Linked DNA regions of Drosophila melanogaster. The protein of the gene in region 2 interacts with the protein of the main gene of each other region in a pairwise test. Each region holds a gene or a part of one and is shown on either strand. Other genes may lie near its edges. The genes, in order: CG7606, yellow-g, flap and CG33170.

Region 1 (4,652 bases), on a different chromosome or scaffold from region 2:
CCCTCTCTCGCAGGACTGTTAATAAATCCTTTGACAATTGCTACATTAATGTCAATACATTTACATTCGTGACCGACCCCTTTCCTGTCACAATATTTGTACGACTCGTGCCGAAAAGGACTCGTGATAAGTATCCGCATTGCGCTGCGGAGATTGAAATCCCGCATCCTGCCAGCTATCTCCGCCCGGAGATTCTGTGTCAAAGTTTTAGCTCGATTTTGCGGCTGTCTCATCAATCAATTTCGTTTAGCCACTTGTCACTCAACCATTTTATTTGGCTTACCAAGTTTCGGGTGCGACTAATTTCCGGCCAAAGGGATTGAGCTAATGCAAATCACATTTAAAACACTGCACCTAAATCACAAAATTTCATCGAGAGACCAGAGTACAGCTGTAAATATAATTCGAACATTGTGTTGGACACTATGTGGAGTATTGGGCAGCCATTGCTGGCCGCGCGGTAAATTTGCAACAAATTAAAGGCCAATTAACCCATCAGACGGGCTTATGAGCCGCCGACCGCAAATGCACGCGCACACACGCAATTGCAACTATGCAATTATCAAATTAGTGCGGGGCGTGGCGGGTCAAGCAATTGGAGAAACAAATAATAAATTGGACGCTGAAATGCAAAACACACACACTAAGCACTATAATTAAGTTGTTGACCCGACCCGACTTGACCCTCACTGAATCGGTTTGGGCCAAGATGCGATGCACAACAACAACCAACAACCAACAACTGACAACTGACAGGCGCATAGGCCTCGAATTAATTAATATGTTTGCATAGCACAAGATGCAGCAATACAGCAATTATGAACTGGCACGGGTGTGTCCCGTCATTCTCCCTATTCCCCCCACTAATTACCAATTTTTAAGTCCTCGAAATGCACTTAATTTTCCACTGATATGGATCCTCCCTTTCGCGTTCTAATGTCCGTTGTGGCCTATTGAACACACCCCTTGGTATTTGGCCCACCTTACCTAAATGAAACGGCACGCGCCGCTGGAAATTTTTCACCAAACATTTTCAACATACCTCTGCGGTTTTCCGGACGTTTTTATAGTTCTTCTCAAATTGCTCTAATTCGTTAAGTTATAAAACCGGCCGCCAAGTTTTCAGATCCATTTACTTTTATTGCCACGGCGGCGGTCAATGAACCAGAAGTCAAAAGGACTGCCCAAAAAGGACGACACATGCGTGTTAATCTCTAATTTGCTAGGTGATCATGTGGATATATATATATATACATATATATATATAGATAGAATGCATACATATTCAACATCACAGCGGGTAGTTGATAGGAGCTTGTTCCATTCGTATCCTTTTAATTGCCAGACGTCGCCGTGTTTCGAATTTCGGTATCTAAAGTTGTTTTTCCCATTTTAATGGCGCTATTTTCATTAGGCAAATGTATGCTCGCCTTATTCCTTTCAATTCACTCCCAAAAAATGTCGACTCCTTTATTTTTTTGTGCCGCTCATTAGCATATAAAATGTATGAGTTGTCCTTTATTTGAGAGGCAGTGGTTGTGCTCGCCAGCGAATGGGTCTGTATACACAATCCACGTTTATTGCATATTCATCATTTTAATTGCTTGTTTTCATACTAAATGACTCGATAAGGCTTTTACGGCTATTAGGCGCAGGCATCCTGCGGCTCGACAGTTGGGTCATCTGTATCCATATTTAAAGGATACTAGGAGGAACTTGGTCAGATACGCCAATTTGAACCGAAGTGTGTTTAGCACGGATAAATAAACTCTTTACTTTTCCAATTCGAAGACAAGCCTGGCTTTGGAATCCTTCAAATGAAATTAAATACTGCAGGACTCCAGCTAAAAGGACAAAGGAAGCAATTCACGTAGAAAAGTGCAAACGAGATGTAGCCGAGGGAAAAGGCAGGCGAATGGGGTCCCGATATGATTACTTTTCCTTTTGTTTTCCCATTTCGGAACTCGGAACTGGGGAAATCAAGAAAGCGTGGTGGAAAGAACAAAGGAATTACTTTGCCAACGAGTGAACGAATATGAATAAAAAAGTGATCAATGCAATGAAAATGATTGTCTGCTCATTGTACCGCTCCCTTTACAATTGAGCGCACAAAGTGCGAAAAGATGAAAGTTTGCAAAATGTATCAGTACTTTAATGAAAAGGAAAAACAAATAATTTGAAAAACGAAGGTTTTGTGAAGGCAAAGTTCTGAAGGGGTCCTGCAATTTGGGTATATTAATGAAATATTTTACACCATTTTTGTGCTACACCTACCTGGAGTCCTGGATTAATCCTTGCAGCCACACCCGGAAGAGGAAGGACATCGACAGGGGTTGCAGCCACATCCGCAGGATCTGGATCCGCAAGAGAGGCACTGCGGCTTGCCACACCCACACCCGCACTCGACCTGTTCCGGCTCCTCAACGGAACAGCTCTGGACCATGGAGATGGTCAGGGCAACCAGGATGATTAACTTTATATTGAACATTGTCTGGCTGTAGAAATCGAAGTCCACTTGAAACTGTGCCAAGGCGGAATGAGGATCGACTCTTTATAGGTTCAACTTGGGGGTAGGGCATTATTTGATCAGTTGATCTTTTATTCTATTTTAGGCTATCACTGCTGATTAAGTAAACGAGTGGCTCTGCGCCTTTTTATTTATCAATAATATATGTTTTCTTTAAATTTATAGTCGATTCAAGGTTGATAACACTTCGTTCTGCGTTTATAATTGATTTGTAAATATTTTCAATATATGTAAATACTATTTACTGGTTTTTAAGGAAAAAAAATGACATTTAACCAAAAGTTAAAGACCAAAAAAATAAATAAATTATGGTGTTGAAAAATAAAAAGCTTTTCAATGTTTAAACATATGCATAGCTGTTTAGTCTAAAAAAGATTTTCATATTCAAAAAAATTTATTGCACTCGTCATTGAATATATTTCTTTATTATTTGTAATCCATCTCCCTTTAAATGAACAAATCAACAAAATAATAAAACAAACAAACAAAGATATTAGTAACGTGATCCAACTGAATCCACCTCACTTAGAAGGGCCAACAATAGGAATAAGTCAGGAATGCTGTAAAGATACAAAATGTATATATTACCGAAAATTTGGAACCAATTCTTTTGACTTACGTTTGCTGTTCTCCGCTGAGAATTTCAGCAGGTGGCACAAACTGTAGAATCTCTCTGTGGCAATCGATCCTGGCTTTCGATTGCATCCACAGGGAGCCGGAATGGGGAATTCAGCAACCACGGGGAAACCCACGCTGCACTTTTTGCAGATGAAGGAACGGCAGAGTTCCTCCGTAACGGGCACAAATGCTGTATTTACAAGATATAAATAAAATACTTTTTACTTAACTGGTTAATTTACTTACGGGATCTACCCTCCTTTTTGCGCTGGTCGCTCTCGATTTGCATAAGGCATTCGTTTTGGAAACAACGGCAGACACAATCCTGAAGAGCCCATTGGTAGTTCCTATAGTAAATATTGCATTTACTTGGGACGCTCGTAGAGTTCTTTATTTCGGATTCAATTTCAGGCTCTGATACTGGTTTTTCTTCGATTTTCGTCTCCTGGACGGCTTGTCCATGGTGGAACCACGAAACGGCCAATAACAAAAGCAGCAATTTAATATTGAACATGTCGTAAAAGTGGCTAAGAATATAACTGTCCCCATAATATCTCATTTGGCTATTTATATTGAATACACTCCACTGTTTTAGCAGTTGTGGCAAAGCGCTTTATTGACTTAGTGCATCTGAAAGTAAAATGTTTGCAGAACGTACGCAAACAACCTTGACTGGCCAAAAAAACACAGCCATAAATTTTCCACTCCAAAAAAAAGCTTTATCACACAGGTTCCTAAAAACAGACTCTAAAAAACATAAGCAACGAAGACTTATAAAATCAGGTAATAATGCACCGTTTTAGGCGCTTAGTCAATCAACTCTTAAGACAAATGTAACAAAAACGTTTGCTGCTTTAAAATGTTTATTCATTATTTTTAACAAGGACGCGTTCGAGGTAGTCAAATTATCATCATCAATTACAAGTCATCTTTTAACACTTCGAGTAGCTGATATAGGCTGAAAGATATAATTATTTATGTTATTAACTATATTTCTATACAAACATCAACTTACGTTTGTTGCATTCAGCTGCGTACTTCTGCAGTTCGCACAGACTCAAAAACTTCTTGATTTCCAGACTGCCCTGTTTGCCATTGCATCCGCATGGCGATGGAATCGGGAACTTGGCCAGCACAGGCCATCCAAGGAAGCACTTGCGCTTGATGAACTTCTGGCACACCTGCTCGGTGACCGGAATTAGAGCTGAAAAATATAAACAAAAATAAGGTATAACTAAATGATAGTGTTTTAATAGCATATCATCTTACGGGTTTTTCCAGCCTTTTCCCGCCGATTGCTCTCCTCGTTCAGAAGACAGCCGTTCTGGAAGACCCGGCACACACAATCTTCAAGAGCCCAGGCGTGTTCGCGCCAGTAGATCTGGCACTTGGTGGTCTCCTCCACGGGATTTTCGGGCTTAATGATGATTGTGGCCTGAGCCACGCTCACTAGGATTGTTGCCAGAAGGATAATATTGAACATTTTAGGCGATTGATCGTGCAATTA
Region 2 (5,505 bases):
CAAATTGCTCTTGGCAACCCGCTGCTACTGTGTGTGCATATGAAACATTCACTTTTTGCACCCAATGTGCTATCAATGAGTTTACATTTGCCATTTAAACGCATCTGTCGATATCAAGGAGAAAATATTTCCAAATGAGTGCGGACAGTTCCCACAAATACACAAATACACTATCCATGGAATATGTTGCCAAATTTGTTGAGTTTCAATACACAATTTTATTGTGAATGGTCGATTTTGATATCTTAATCATTTAAAGTCTAGAGATGAATAAATGATTGCTGATTTCAAGCTTTGCCATAATCGTATCTGTAAGCTGTTTTTGCAGAGTAAAAGAGTCTTAGCATCGTCAAATTTCCATTTGCATACTTTGCTTTTATTTATGTTGGAGCACATAAATATTTATCCACAGATTCGGCCCGACTGACAATCCCGCCCACATATCACAGCACTTATCACATCCGCCTGCTTTTGGGCATGTGTGTGCCATAAATCGGGGGATTACGATCGTGGGAAGGGGGGTTTGGACCCATGGCAGTTTATTGAATCGGAATTCACAAAAATTCAATCTGCATGTAATTTGGCATTATAGACAGACCCTTCCCATTCCGCCATGCGGAAGGAGCAGCCAGTCTGACCCCCGATGAATGGGTTATCAAAATGTTGACCCGCCGATGGTCATTTGATGATGGGCAGCTGTAAGGAGATTAAACATTTTGTGATTTAATGTAAGCCCAGTGCTGTCCATAATTCGCTGCACGAGCTGTCCCAAACAAAAGACTCTTCAGCTGGACACCGACTCCTCCACCGCTTGCCCGAATGTGTCAAAGATTTTTTATTCGCCGCTTGGCGATATGTGGGTTTCTACGAGTTAACGGGGTCATCGACCACGTCGGGCGGATACACCTCTAATCCCCCCGCAATCAACGTGCAAAAAAGTCCACCAAAGTCCACAAAGAGACTTGAGCAGCCAACAAAAAAAAATATGGCAAAAAATGTAGTTCCAGGGGGCACCCGGATTTGAACCGGGGACCTCTCGATCTGCAGTCGAATGCTCTACCCCTGAGCTATACCCCCGACTTGAAAATGGCGAACTCAGAGCGCCTTTTAAAGTTCCCTGATGCGATAAAATTTCGCCTTTGCATTTATCTTAAAATAGAAATGAAATCAATTTGGAACAGAGTGACTGTTCCGCGAAACTGTGGGTGTGATTCACACGACGAATCTCCGGCAACTTGCAATCTTATCTGCGAGTAATGTGCCCCACCAACTCCCCGAACTTTCTCCTTTCGCCCGCCCCCTCCCCCAAAAGCAAACTGATAGCTAGCTGCAGACGGACGGACTGACAGATGTTTTTGTCATCCGAAAATAGCTGGTAACTCGAGCCAAGAAACTGAAACTTTCTCGGTCGCAGATATGCAGGTCACAGACGTCAGCATTGATATTGAACTTTTGGGCCACTTTGGCAAGTGTTTCGCAGCGACCTCTGAACTTTGCCTGCCAAGGGGTGAAACTTGCTACTCTGTCGGATGCACAAGAGCGATCGATGAGTGACAGAAGCTATTTCGCAACTTGAACCCATTTTATTGAACGGACTTGAGTGACTAATTAGCTGCCTATAAATGGCTATAATAGCACAAAGTTATACTCAGAAAATAAGAGCAATAAAAGGAGTAGAAGTGATTAATTAGACAGGCATAGATTGCCATAATAGAACAAACTGTTATCAAGACAATTAAAGTAAAAACCAGGGGAGTTAAATTTGATTTGGATGGCTTAGGAAGAATCGTGTAATCTAGATAGAGGGAAGGGGTTAAGTTTGCATTTCATTTCCGCATCGCTTTCCGCATTGCTTAGAAACCGAGCGGGCTTAGAGGTCTGGCCGACTTCCGGCGTGGGCCAGACGTGCTGGCTGGGTGGTAGCCACTCCAGACAGACACTTGTTCCCCCCCGTGTCAAGCAACCAACGACCTTGCCGCAACACGCTCCACATGCTGGCTGCATAAGTCGTTGGGTATTATATATAAATGCAGGTCTACCATCGCTCAGACAGTTTTATGTTCTGGCCAACGTGGTGAATCGAGTGCAGAAGCTCTGTTTGTGGAAAGCGCAGAAAGAAACGCCGAAAAATGTCGCAGCTGCAACTGCTGCTCCTCGTCGCTTCGGCCTCCGTGGTCCTCGCGGGATACAGCTCCTCCACCGACGAGTCGACGGACGCCTCCAACTCCATTGGCGGCACCAAGTGCGACAAGAACCCGCTGAACGAACTGACCTTCCAGCTCAGCGGCAGCAGCCTCCACTGGCCCTGCGAGTCCACCAAGAACATCTACGTCCAGTCCGGCCGCTATGTGCCCCGTAACGTGATCGTGACCCGGGCCCAACTGCAGCGGGACTCCGCCTTCGTGGCGCTGCCCAGGTACAAGCAGGGCGTGCCCTTCACTCTCGGCAAGGTCAATCTAAAGAAGGGCGAGTGCCTGACCAAGATCGCACCCTATCCCTGCTGGGCCATTCAGGAGGAGGGCAACTGCCAGGCGCTGCAGTCCGTCGTGGACATAGCCGTCGATCAGAATGTGAGTGCAATTAACGCCAGTATTGTTTGGACCATTTTTTTTTTGGGGGTCAGACAAGTTGTCTCGTCCAAACTGCCAGTTCTGCCTTTAATTACGGACTGCTCGTTGTTGGCCACCATGGAGGCATAGCACTTTAACCCACACCAAATGTTTAATTCATATTTGTATCGTGGGTGGATTACAGGGTAGCATTGAAATGCTCTTAGGGCTATTCACTTTTTTTTTCTAAAAATGATTTAGTTTATCTTCTGATATTGATATTGATGTGCAGTCGCAGTGTTAAATATTTGCTAGCCCTTACAAAGTCGATCAAAATCGGGAGTTTAGCTCCAGGGTATCGTTTTCGCATTAACCCCTTGCCGGACGCACTTTTTTAATTGGTTAGCCTCGCTGTCGACCAAATATTACTTTTTTAATCAAATAAACGGGGCCACAAAAGTGAAGAGCTCCAAATAAAATTCATGCCCGTCAATTGGCGGCAGCAATTTAAGGGTAGAATAAACGGATACGGAAACGCCGAAAAAGCTGTGGGGTAAATGGAATATTATAAAGGACAAGGACTGCAGCTGAAAAGTGACAAGCAAATGCAGTGAAAAGTTCTCGAAAATAATTTTGGAAATGCTGGGAACAGGCCATCCAGCCGTGTTTTGTGCATTTCGATTGCACTTCAGAAGTTCTCAGCTTTAATTTTAAATGACAGATGCATTCGCAGATATTACAATGATGCTATTAAATATTTACATGACCTACTTACGATTGCGAGCATAAGCTGCAACTTAATAATTTCCTTCAATTATTGTTGGCGTCGAATCGTTCTCATTTAAATGCCATTCCCGTTTAGCTGCATTTATGCAAATCATTTCTTTATTTTATTTACACAAAAGTCGACGAAACAATAACAAACGGCAAACAAACGAGGCGACTGTATTTATTTATTTGCGCAATTTTCCATTCAGTGCTTTTCGCTGATACTCATTTTATGGCCACATATTTGCGAATGTGGAATTTTTAACGCCGCCAACATTTCAATTAGCCGCCAAATGAAAACATTAACAACAATCAACACGAGCTGCAATTGATAGCAATTAATAATTGCCTTCTCCGTTCGCAGGGACTTCTGTGGGCCTTGGACGTGGGCATTGTCAACACCCTGGAGCAGCCCATCCGCAGATGCAGTCCCAAGATCGTGGCCATAAACACGGCCAACCACAAGGTGGTCAAGAGCATCGACCTCAGCGACCTGGTCACCTCCGAGAGTCGGCTGCAGTTCATCGTGGTCGACTACTCCAAGGACAACAAGCCATTCGTGTGAGTTCCATTGCCTATACTCTTTTATTACCCTTAACTTCATCTGTGAAATGAGTTGTACTTAATCACTTTTTGAAATACATCAACTATGAAATTAATACCACACATTACATTATTATTAACCATTATTACTAACCATTATTTATCAGCACAATGATATTCAGAGATTCATATTGCAGTCATAAAATATTCGTTGAAATCATCGAACTGAATCAAGAGTTTGGAGTACTTTTACCACACACTTTCAATCATGCTTTCAATCAGCGATCATTGAGCCAATCAAAAGGGCATTAGCCACTTTGAGGCTCATATCTTATCTGCTCAAGGTAGTTCTCAGAAGTGTGGCTCATCATATACCAAATAAAATCGATTTGTATTGCATACATGATATCTAATCTCATTCCACATTATATTTCCTTCACTTTCAACCATAGCTATGTGGCCGATGCTGGAGCACGTAGTATCCTGGTATACGACATCACCGGCAACAAGTCCTACCGCATCGTCCTGCCGAAGGCCACCGCCCCCACCAGCGATGTGCTGTACGTGGCGCTCACCTCGAAGCCGGACGGCACCTCCACCCTGTTCTTCAGCTACCTGAGCTCCCCCCGTCTGTACTCCATCAAGGGCGAGTACCTGCGCGTTGGCCAGGGAGCGGGCTCCATCATCGACGTGGGCCCCAAGCCCTATGGCAAACAGGCGGTGCTGCTGGGCGCCGACGGCGGCACCTCGCTCTTCTTCCGCTACAAGGGCGAGAACGACATTTACCTGTGGGACTCGGAGACCTGCTTCAAGGCCGCCAATCTGCAGGAGGTGCAGCGGGGAGGCGACTGCCGGCTGTCCACCCAAGTGCTCCCGGGTCACAAGCGATTCATGTGGGCGCTGGAGAGCAACTTCCACGATTTCATCTCGGATCGCACGGGCTGCAACGGAGCCTCGATCGTCCTGCATCCTGTGGTGCGGGAATGTGACGATTGAGTCCGTATCCCTCCACTTTCTTAGGCTTAAGATTCAAACTGATTTGTTGTCGTTACTGGGTCTCATTAAAATTTTGGTGAATATTTATAGTTATTTGTAGTTTATCTTAAAATGTTCAGAATGATTTCAATTTTTTAAATAGGCATTTACTTGAATCAATATTGGTACCATGAAAACAATTCATTACTCTGACTCTGATTGGCACTTTCGAGTCTCAGCATTGAAATACTGTCCCATTGGACAGCTGTAGATCTGCAGCTGGTGATCGATGCATATGCAGTACTCATCCTTGGTGGAGACATTGGGACAGCTGAGGATCTCAAAGTCCGAGCACTGATAGATCCTATCAGTCACGCAGGTCAGGATCTTAGGATCAATTTGGAAGCCGGCGGGACAGGTCATCACCTCCAGTTCTCCATCGACGCACTTGCAGTACTCGATCTCAGAGGTTCGGAAGGGGCATTGGTACCTATCGTTGTTCATGCACGTGTGGGACTCCATCGCCTGAATGCTCCTCATGCTCCTGGTGTCGGGCACACAGCTGTAGCTGTTGAAAACGAATCCCTCGTGGCACTTCATCATCAGCGGATACAGCGAATTGGCCGTGTCATTGACGCAGACGTAGAAGTACCGATTGTCGGGCGCCCAT
Region 3 (5,261 bases), on a different chromosome or scaffold from region 2:
GTTTCCGAGATGCCAGCGTGTTGCCATTGTTGTGGCCAAAAGCCGAAAAGCCAAAAGAAACCAAGCCAAACGAAACGAAACGAGACGAAGCGGCCTGAAATGTATAAAAACGTTTGTTTTCGTAATACAATTTTGATTACTTCTTCGACGCCAGCCGCCCATTGATGGGCATTGTCTCAGCTGGGCCCCTTTGTGCGTCCCTTAGCGATTTGATTTATGGGCGGAGGAGCTGGGCGCCCAATACTCCACTCCAACAGCGCTACCGTTGGCCATTTGCCGGGATCGCGGTCCATTTGGCAATAGCTTTGTTGTAATTGTTACAATAATAACAGCCGTGATTCCCGACACCACTGCCCCCCATCAACTGGGCAATCACTGACATCGCAGTGGCATGGTTTTCGGGGCTATTCCAAATAGATATCATTCAAAGATATATTTCTCAGGAATAAGCTTTTTTAGAGATTATAGAATTTAATATTATATATACTGCTACAATTTATGTGAACCCCTTTCCTCAAACTACGCCCATTTGCACCAACTGATGGGGCGAGGAAACTCTTTTTGAAGCTCTTTTGATCGTCGAAAGCCAAATGCCGGTACAAATGCTCAAATGCGGAACCAATAAGCTGACATAATTTTTTGTGATGGGCGCTGAAAAAAAAAGAAGATTTGCTCGGGCCAAATGATAATTACATTCCAGAGACATCTGAAGATATGGTCACGGTTGGCTTTCGAATGCGATCATTACCGCACTTAAGTTTGAAGACCATAGAAGATGGTTATTCAAGGACGTAACAGAAACATATCGTTGATACTAAAGTACGAGACTATTGAACTACCTTCTATATGCAAAATATGAAAAGAATTTCATATGGGGGGCGATCATAAAGGTGATGACTTATGAGCACGAGGTGCGATGATCTAATCACCGGTCGCGTCAATAGCCGGGCGGGCCGAAATGCCAAAAGTTCATCGATCACTGACACCGCCGACCAACTCAACGCATCTTTACTGAACGCTGATCTGCCAAAAGTCTGATCGATCGATCGATTGGTTCTCTGACTCAGACCAGTCAAGAACCCAATGCACTGAGCCAGACTGAAACAGGCAAGTTTGAAATGTGTTTATGTCAACGCCGCGATTGTCAAATATTGTATTAATGAATTGAGATGGAGTCGAGAACAACAAGAACTCGCTGTGGGAACAGGATCTGGCGAATCTGTGGCACATGGAAGGCATAACTTATGCATTGTTAGCATAATAATTTTCCAAAAATCAAGCCAAACCTGTCAAAATAAACAAACCGAACGGAGCACATTCGTTTTCAATAACCATTTGCATTTCGTGTGTGTTTAATTTATGCGAAAGTTGTGTCTATTTGGGAGGCGATTTAGCTATTGTCTTGTAAATCATTTAGCGAATAGCACTAATGTTAGGCGACTGTTAGCTGGATGTTAATATTAACACCTTATCGAAATGCGGGATCAACTTCTATTTTGGTATGCTTGCTTCGTTGATATTAATATATAATACATATTACATATATTATCTTGTTCGTCATATCTACTAATCTCATAAAGATATTCGTGCTATAGACGCATTTTTAAGATAACACAAAAGTTGGCTTACAGGGGTTAATATCTGAATCCGATCATGTTGCTCGGCTGACCTTGAACGTCATTGGCAGTGCGTCAAAGTGTGGCGAGAGACCAGTATGCAAAAAAAAACTGATCACCTGGGGTAATTAAAATAATTATTTTGCACTCTTTTCCGGTTGATAGTAGTACACACACACATGGCGATCAGAAGGGTTGGAAAATTCGGGGGGAAGCTGAAAAAGGCTCTTGAATAGATAACGCTTTCGCGCGTTCGAAATTCCCATTTTTCCCAACTTACTTACTTGACACTCTGCCGCCGTCGCAGTCGGCGTCGCTGGCGACGTCGCGGCTTTAGCCAAGTCGAGCTTGGAGCAGCGGCTCTTGGCCAAGTTTATTGAAAGCGCAGAATCCGTGAGCTACGGACGTGTTTCGCTCGAGCGCATCGCGCATCTCCCAGATACGACCTACGATCTCCATCGCTCTTGCTCGCTCGCACCGCCGCCCTCCGCGCATAGCACCCTCTCGCTCGCGCACCGAAGTGATCGTGATATCGTGCCGCGGATTTTATTCCGATTGAGAAAAGGCGGTGAAAATATTACACATTATAGTTGTCGGCTTCGATTGCGACGCCTGCGATTTTGTCATCGCGATCATTGTTGGCCGGATCGACGGCTCCTACGCGATATAATTGTATTCCCGCCGATCTCGCTGCCATCCCCTTTGGGCAATGCCCAATTCCAAATTGTTAATTGCGTGACAAATTCGAAAAGGGGTTAATATATAAAGAGAAATAATACGAGCAGTAAGCCAAAACGCGAAGCTCCGTGCTCACCCACGAGATAATGCAGTTCGATCCGAAGACACGATGCGGTGGCAGCGTGGTTAGCTTTACCGTTATGCTGCTGCTGATCATCGGCGCCGATTTCGCCGCTGGAAGGCCTGGTATTAAATTAAAGCAGCCTATATAGATATAAACTAAGGCGATTGCAATTGCGATTGCGATTGCGCTATCGGATCGCATATTCAATTCGCACCAGCATGCGAATCGGATTTTTGAAACGGCGATCCTCTTCGCTTTTTTTTTGTCTTTACCTCTTTCCTATTTGCGGTTTACGTTTTAAATGTTATGTGTGCTTATTGCGTTTTTTTCTGGAAGAAGCTACAAGTTTATGGGTGACATACAAAGTTATAGATATTATAAATATATGGCATAAATATTATGCCAGTCAAACCTGCTTGAGTAACATTACCATCTATGAATATTTTATAACTTGTGTATAGAATAGCACACCCATGACTTTCAGCTTCTTCTTGACGTTGTTATCTGTAACTAATTTTACGATTTTATCTCGATCCTACTAAGATTTATTCTGAACTGATCCCGAGCCCCCCTCCCCCTTCCTCTGTCTATGAATATCTGTTAGAAATTCCAATTCTTCACTCACTTTTTGCATATACAATCTCACCCTCACTTTCCATTTGCATTTGCATTTCCAAAACTCACCGGTGCACAAGTTCGAACTCACCCCACAGTTAACTTCGATCGTGATCGTGATCATGACCCACATCGGTGGGTAGGCAAGTGCTATCCCACAGCTAACAACTAATGACAGTTGCACCAATAGAACACTCACTGGGTCTGAAATCAATTGAAATATTGGCTAATTTTTATTTAGGATGTCAATACATATATGGAACCACTTTGTTTATGGATGTCCACAGAGAAGAGTATATCTTAAAATACTAATTTTTTCAGAGAAGTGCATTCTCTTGACTTGTCCCGAAGGCTTATGCATGCAATTAGCCTTCGCCGTTGAAGAGCCTTTATAAATGCAGCCTTAAGCTGTTTTTGTTTGACAAACAAACTGAAGAACTGGGTGCTGATCATTAAGTTTTTTTTGGACTGAAAGCGAAATCAGGTAGCCGCTGTAAAAACAAACAGCGAAGTTCCCAAAGGCAAAGCCGTAAGAAAAACGAAATTCGAGAAGAGCCGTTGTGAAGAGGCCCCCGAAGAAAACCCAAAACCAAAGCCAAAACTCCAACTCCAATCTCAAGACGAAACTGAAACCCAGAGCTCCAGCAAGTGGAGTTACGTAAGCTGAAGATAACGTGACTGGCAAGGCTTCGGCGATGTCGTTGTCGATCCGTCTTCCTCTTGGCGTTTGGGGGGTTAAAGGAGGGGTTAAACGACCTCTGGAATGGAGTCCCTTGGGGGGTAGTCCATGTAGTTCATAAATTTAGCGACGCTTTTGTCAAGACGATCTGTTAACTAAGTTGTTTACACCAACTAGAGACTAATGTCGGGGCGCTCTTTTTGGGTCATGGGGCCACAAGCAAGAAGCTGTGACAAGAAACTGAGGATTTCGAGAATGAATGTACCAGAAAACGGTTTAAAGACTTGGCCAAAACCCATTGACCAACTAGACAAGTTAATTGGCTACTAACAATTAAAACCAATCCATAAACTTAGAGCTCATTCAAAGCACCCATGATGGAAATATCATTGGAGCCTAATGGTTTTGTTTGGCACGAAATAGTTATATTTCGGTCGCGGTTTTCATATTCGGCAATCAATGAACCCATCATAATGAATGGACCCGTACGTGATAATTAGCGAATTCGCACGGATCTGAAATGGGTAATCGTGCCTCACTTTCGCGTGCCTTGATTTATGATTCAGTCGCAGATTATCGTAATTAAAACACAATAGGATATCAACCAGTTATGGATATAGATGAAGATATGTAGACACATGAGTGGCGGCAGTTTGGAGTTTCGACATAGCCAACTAACTCTTGCCAATTTATCAAAGACAGCCGACACATTCCAATCTATATAGAATTGGTTCTGGGGCCATTCTAAACCGCAAATATTTATTCATTTATGGGAGAGTTCGGTTTCCGTTTTAGTCAACTTGCCCCTTGACATTTTTGAGCCAATCACAATTGAATCATATTTCATCTGGCTATTTCAAGTGCAATAAACACATTTCGTTTCTCATCGAAGTATAATTTACAAGTTGGGATTGTGTTTTGGCGATTTGGCACGGCATTTGACACATTTCGTTAGCCGTTTCTGTGTGGGATGACAGCCCAATATGTCGATACCTCCAAGGTCTGCGAGATGATATAAACGAAGATTAATAAAAATCCATTACAATTTTTGTTCGCTGATTCCGGCGAAGGTTGGCCAGGCACAGAAACATGTCAAAATCAAGAAGATGGTAAACAAACTGTAAAATTGGCAAGTGCAAAATGTTTTCAACAGAAATACCCATTGTCTCTAGGTGGGTGCAGATGTCGTGAAGCCGTCAATCAATTAAAAATTAAATTCAATAAACATAAACAGTGAGGGAGATGGCGATGGTGATGGAGATGGAGATGTCGATGCGAATGAAGATTTCGCTGGAGACAAGCAAAATTAATTGGCCTGAACTTGAGCACCGTTTGCGGCGGAAGTGTGGGGAATTTCGATAATTTCGGCATAATCCGCGAGATACGAGATATAACACTTTCGGCCGCCAGCCGTGACGCAAATCATCTTCACTATCTCTGAGCATTCAAGTTAATGAGGGGCCGAGTTGCAGGCGAAAGTTCAGGGCTTCCTGATAGACGGCCAAGCCCGTCCGTCCCAAAATGCAAATGAATCCCAATTGCTCGTGGC
Region 4 (4,771 bases), about 21 Mb from region 2:
AAAAATCGTCATTTTGTTTTATAAATTGGCAAAAGATTAAATAAAAGAAAGCACAGCATGTCCGCCAAGCAAAACCCAAAAAAGTTAAAGTGGGCGCTGGACTTTAACGGGAGGTAAGGATTGCTAGCCTGCGCGGTGACTCAAGTTCTTACCACTTTTGCTTTTTCCTGCAGCAAAAATGCTGATATTCCTTCGCCGCTGGGCTACAATCCATCTGCTTTGGTGAACCAGAGTGAAGTGGTGCGCGACCAGCGCCTGGTCATCAAGAAGTCGTGGGACCTTGCCCTGGGACCTCTTAAGAACGTGAGTAGCAGCCCTTTGGAAAGACCCGTGCTTAACCTTTGGATTCCCTCAGATTCCCATGAATCTATTCATCATGTACATGTCAGGAAACTCGATTTCCATTTTTCCCATCATGATGGTCGGCATGATGCTGATCCGGCCTATCAAGGCCATCTTCACCACCCAGGTGACTTCCAAAATGGCGGAGGGGGCCCAGGGAACTGGCCAGCGCATCGTCTACTTCCTGGGCAACCTAGCAAACGTGGCTTTGGCCCTCTACAAGTGCCAGAGCATGGGGCTCCTCCCCACCCACGCCTCCGATTGGTTGGCATTTGTCCAGCCTCAGACACGCCTGGAATATTACGGCGGAGGAATTTCGTTTGTCTAGTTTTACACATATAGATTCTCTTTATTTGATCATAGATAAATTGGTTTAAACTAAAATTGTGGTCTTATTCCGCCAGTCAGTCGTCTAGTATCTTCTTGGCCTCCTTTTTGATGTCATCCACTAGTTTCTCGCCGGGCGATCTGTTAAAGAAAATAGTAAAATAATTAAGATACAGAATGATAATATGATCTTATTTAGCATTGATTTCGTCATGGTTGCACCTGGCAACAAATTTTTATTCGGAAAAGCCATCATTCACCACAGTAGAAAGATATCATCACGACTTCGCACGCATTTTTTCAGCACTTTGTCCTATTTTCAGAATTTGTAAAACAAGCGCGTGGAAAGCTTAATATAAGATATCGAAAAAAAATCCAGGTTTAGTTGACAAGTTCGACTTATAAAATTTTTACAATTTTAATTACAAAGGCATTTGACAGAGTGTGGCTCGATGGACTTTTGTTTAAAATAATCAAGCTGTTGCCCCAAAACACACATAAGCTACTGAAGTCATACCTATATAACAGAGTGTTTGCAATAAGATGCGATACAAGCACTTCACGCGATTGCGCAATCGAAGCTGGAGTGCCGCAAGGCAGTGTACTGGGTCCAATCTTATACACCCTGTATACGGCGGATTTCCCCATAGACTACAATCTAACAACCTCCACGTTCGCTGATGATACCGCGATACTCAGTCGCTCGAAATGCCCAATAAAAGCCACGGCACTCCTATCCCGACACTTAACATCTGTAGAACGATGGCTTGCCGACTGGAGAATTTCAATAAATGTTCAAAAATGCAAGCAGGTTACCTTTACCTTAAACAAACAAACATGCCCACCACTGGTCTTGAATAACATATGCATTCCACAAGCCGACGAGGTAACATATCTGGGAGTTCATCTGGACAGGCGGCTCACTTGGCGCAAACATATAGAAGCCAAATCGAAACATCTTAAACTTAAAGCAAGGAACCTCCACTGGCTCATAAATGCTCGCTCTCCACTTAGTCTGGAGTTCAAAGCTCTTCTATACAACTCCGTCTTAAAACCTATCTGGACTTATGGCTCCGAGCTGTGGGGCAACGCATCCAGAAGTAACATAGACATTATTCAGCGAGCACAGTCAAGAATTCTGAGAATTATCACTGGAGCGCCGTGGTACCTTCGAAACGAAAACATACACAGAGACCTAAAAATCAAATTAGTAATCGAAGTAATAGCTGAGAAAAAAACGAAGTATAACGAAAAGCTGACCACCCATACAAATCCCCTCGCAAGAAAACTAATCCGAGTATGCAGTCAAAGCCGGCTGCACCGCAACGACCTCCCAGCCCAGCAATAAACTTATTAGGGCATTAATGAAAAAAAAAAAAACTATCACTAAGTGAAAGTTAATTAAGTTAGATTAAGATTTGAACACTTATTGTTAGTCTCTTAACACAAAGGGAAGATTCAATAAATAATAAAAAAAATTATAAAAAAAAAAAAAAAAAAAATTACAAAGGTCGCTCTATGACTTTTTTGAATTTAGTGAAGGTAACGTTATCCTTGTACGAAACTACCAAGGCTGTTACTTGTTCTTGGTTTGATCCATTAGTTCTTTGAGTTTCTCGTTGAAACGCTGCATCAACTTCTGGGGATCATCCACTCGGGGGACCTAAAAAAGCCACTGTATTAGGAGCAAGAACAAATGTGGGTTAGGTGGCTTACCTCATAGTTCTGTGAGACATAGATTCCCGTATACACCCCGGCGCCAAAAGTTAACTGGAATGGAGAAAGGAGGATTATTAGAGTGGGTTGTGAAAATCTTCCTGAAGATGTCTATTTCGCATGCTGACCGTCGAGAAACATATTACTCGCTTGAAAGTCCAAAAGCGTTTTTTGGGACAGCACGGCAATGGCTGGCGAACTTCCGGTGGGCAAGTTTTCGCAGAGCGACTCTGCCCGCCAGTTTTGAGCCTCAAAACCTGCGCCCCAAGTCCAAGCAGTTTCATTTTAACTTCCAGTCTATATAAACGATCAATTTGGTGAGGCCTGTGTTGTTTTTCAAAGAGTCCGAATCTGTTTACTCATGGCTTGAGCGGTCATGGTCGACATAATTTCCAACGACTAGGTGATTATTTTATTTTTGTGGATATTTGAATTTGTGAGGCCTTATATAACGTTGAACCAAAAGTCACTTATGTATGTATTCAAACAGCGCACACTGGGAAGTAAACTCAAATTGAACCAATTTTGGAATCTATTTAACTGGTGTTTTGGCGCACTTTCTACCGTTTTACCAATCCACTCTTGTTTTATCCGAGCAAGAATATTTTGAATTTTGCTTAAACTTTTAATACTATTTTTTTATTTGTTGAAGTTAGATATTGGGAAGGTATTTTCAAATGTATTACATTTTGTCATTTATATTAATCATTAATATTTAATCAAATAATTGGTTTTGATTTTGAACCCCTAGACAACACATTTCACCACTGTGCAGGGGCGCGTCATCGCCGCGAAAAGCAACACAACCACAAAAACCACAGAAAAGTTGTATCTCGTATCTGATATGATTTCAGGTGTGAATCATAAACTTAAAAACATCAGGAAACCGGAAAACTTACCAGAAACTTGAGCATAGTGGAATAGTTAAAGGAGCCTTTGTCACCCGCAGCCGCCAGCGTGAGAGTCTTAGCAAAAGTGAGAGAATGTGAAAAAGAAACGTCAAACGACGCTGCTTCGGCGCTTCGTCTGCAGCTGCTCGGAATCTGAAAACAGCTGACTGGCCCACTGCGATTTGTGTTTGTATGGTTAGGTAATCGTATTTGGCTGACTCTGATAACTATGGAGTTAAGTTACTGCCTTTCGAGCACTGAACTTTTACTTCAATTTATGTACATGCATATGCATATGTATTAACAATTATTAGTTTGCGGTCACCGACGACGAGCTCCTCGGTGGACGGGCGTAAGTGAAACTGAAACAAGGGCAATCGCAATTAAAAACTGAACGCAAAACGGCCAAAAATAAAACATGTTGGTGGATGCCGCCTTCTCTAATATACATATGCACATATTTACATATTGAAGTGCCTCTGCTACGGTTTTTACCGTTTCCTAGTGCCCTTTTTTAATCAACCGCCAAAGCGCTAGACGGTTTTCAACACTACCACCAACGACCGTAATTCGGATACATTTTGTCCCCAAATCTCAAATTCCCAGGAACTGCACTTGAACAGCAGGGTGTTGTTCGTGTCATGGAAAATCCACTTTATGTAAAACATGCTTTTTGGATGGACGAACTGTGATTTAATTGTACTATTAAGGCTATATGTCTTTACAACGATTCAATTGCACTGACCACGACTATAAACTACATTTTATGACTACATTAGGCCAAGACCGCGGGGCGGGTCTTCAAGTAGACGAACAGCACCAGAAAGACCGCCAAAACGCCGAGCGCCGGCAGCACCACGGTGCGGATCTTCGCCTGGGTCTCCAGGTTGTCCAGCTTGCGCTCCTTCTTCTGTTTGCGCGTCTCCTTCACCTTTCCCTTCAGCTGGCGCATCTTTATCACTGATAGTTTTTGCGATAGTTCCTTTAATCTGGTGACGTGTAACACTCGTCGGAATGTGTGTGCGTGGAGCAACAAAACAGAGAGCTGGCCTTCTTTCGTTCAACAAGTTGTTTCTGGGCCAAAGAAGAAGAAGAAACGTTCGACTGGGCTGGCTAAAAGCAGGCAGCTTTTGACTGTCGACAGTGCTGCTTATTTCATGCAGTTTCTGGTCGGGTTACTCTGATGACACGTCCGGCCGACTAGTGTTGAACAATGTCTCTGGGACGGAAGCGCGCGTTTAAAAAAGTCTTTATAATTAAATAACGCATTTCATAAGTTAGAAAGCCATCAATTAACCTGGGGCTGTATTTGCCTCCATCTGAACATAAAAATGTCGTAGCAAGTTGTACAAAATTCACTTGCCAGTCAATAGTGAATACTTTATTTACCCAAACAAAATATAAAATAAATATAGTTTAAAAGAAAATAAAGCCGACTGAATAAATTTTTGACTGCAGGCGAAAGTCAAAAACGTATATGCATATATGTGAGTATA

What was found.
Region 1: the proteins of yellow-g (region 2) and CG7606 interact in a two-hybrid assay, tested with the Drosophila melanogaster proteins (one large-scale study listed by BioGRID).
Region 3: the proteins of yellow-g (region 2) and flap interact in a two-hybrid assay, tested with the Drosophila melanogaster proteins (one large-scale study listed by BioGRID).
Region 4: the proteins of yellow-g (region 2) and CG33170 interact in a two-hybrid assay, tested with the Drosophila melanogaster proteins (one large-scale study listed by BioGRID).

The regions. Positions count from the first base shown.
Region 1 is NT_033777.3:17,594,399-17,599,050, reverse strand, and holds CG7606 (uncharacterized protein), read right to left. Parts: upstream 2,516-4,652; 5' UTR 2,489-2,515; coding exon 2,288-2,488; 3' UTR 2,275-2,287; intron 2,220-2,274; 3' UTR 598-2,219; downstream 1-597. Other genes in the region: Sgs5 (salivary gland secretion 5), read right to left, coding at 3,053-3,087, 3,147-3,335, 3,392-3,659; Sgs5bis, read right to left, coding at 4,078-4,103, 4,161-4,349, 4,415-4,628.
Region 2 is NT_037436.4:2,269,316-2,274,820, reverse strand, and holds yellow-g (yellow-g), read left to right. Parts: upstream 1-2,051; 5' UTR 2,052-2,129; coding exon 2,130-2,570; intron 2,571-3,681; coding exon 3,682-3,878; intron 3,879-4,312; coding exon 4,313-4,856; 3' UTR 4,857-4,940; downstream 4,941-5,505. Other genes in the region: CG32302 (uncharacterized protein), read right to left, coding at 5,040-5,505.
Region 3 is NT_033778.4:22,096,261-22,101,521, reverse strand, and holds the start of flap (flapper), read left to right. Parts: upstream 1-1,987; 5' UTR 1,988-2,440; coding exon 2,441-2,540; intron 2,541-5,261.
Region 4 is NT_037436.4:22,863,439-22,868,209, reverse strand, and holds CG33170 (uncharacterized protein), read right to left. Parts: upstream 2,725-4,771; 5' UTR 2,670-2,724; coding exon 2,514-2,669; intron 2,440-2,513; coding exon 2,386-2,439; intron 2,333-2,385; coding exon 2,246-2,332; 3' UTR 2,176-2,245; intron 1,095-2,175; 3' UTR 811-1,094; coding exon of another isoform or gene 747-810; 3' UTR 675-746; downstream 1-674. Other genes in the region: EMC4 (ER membrane protein complex subunit 4), read left to right, coding at 58-113, 174-303, 356-670; CG33169 (uncharacterized protein), read right to left, coding at 4,051-4,227.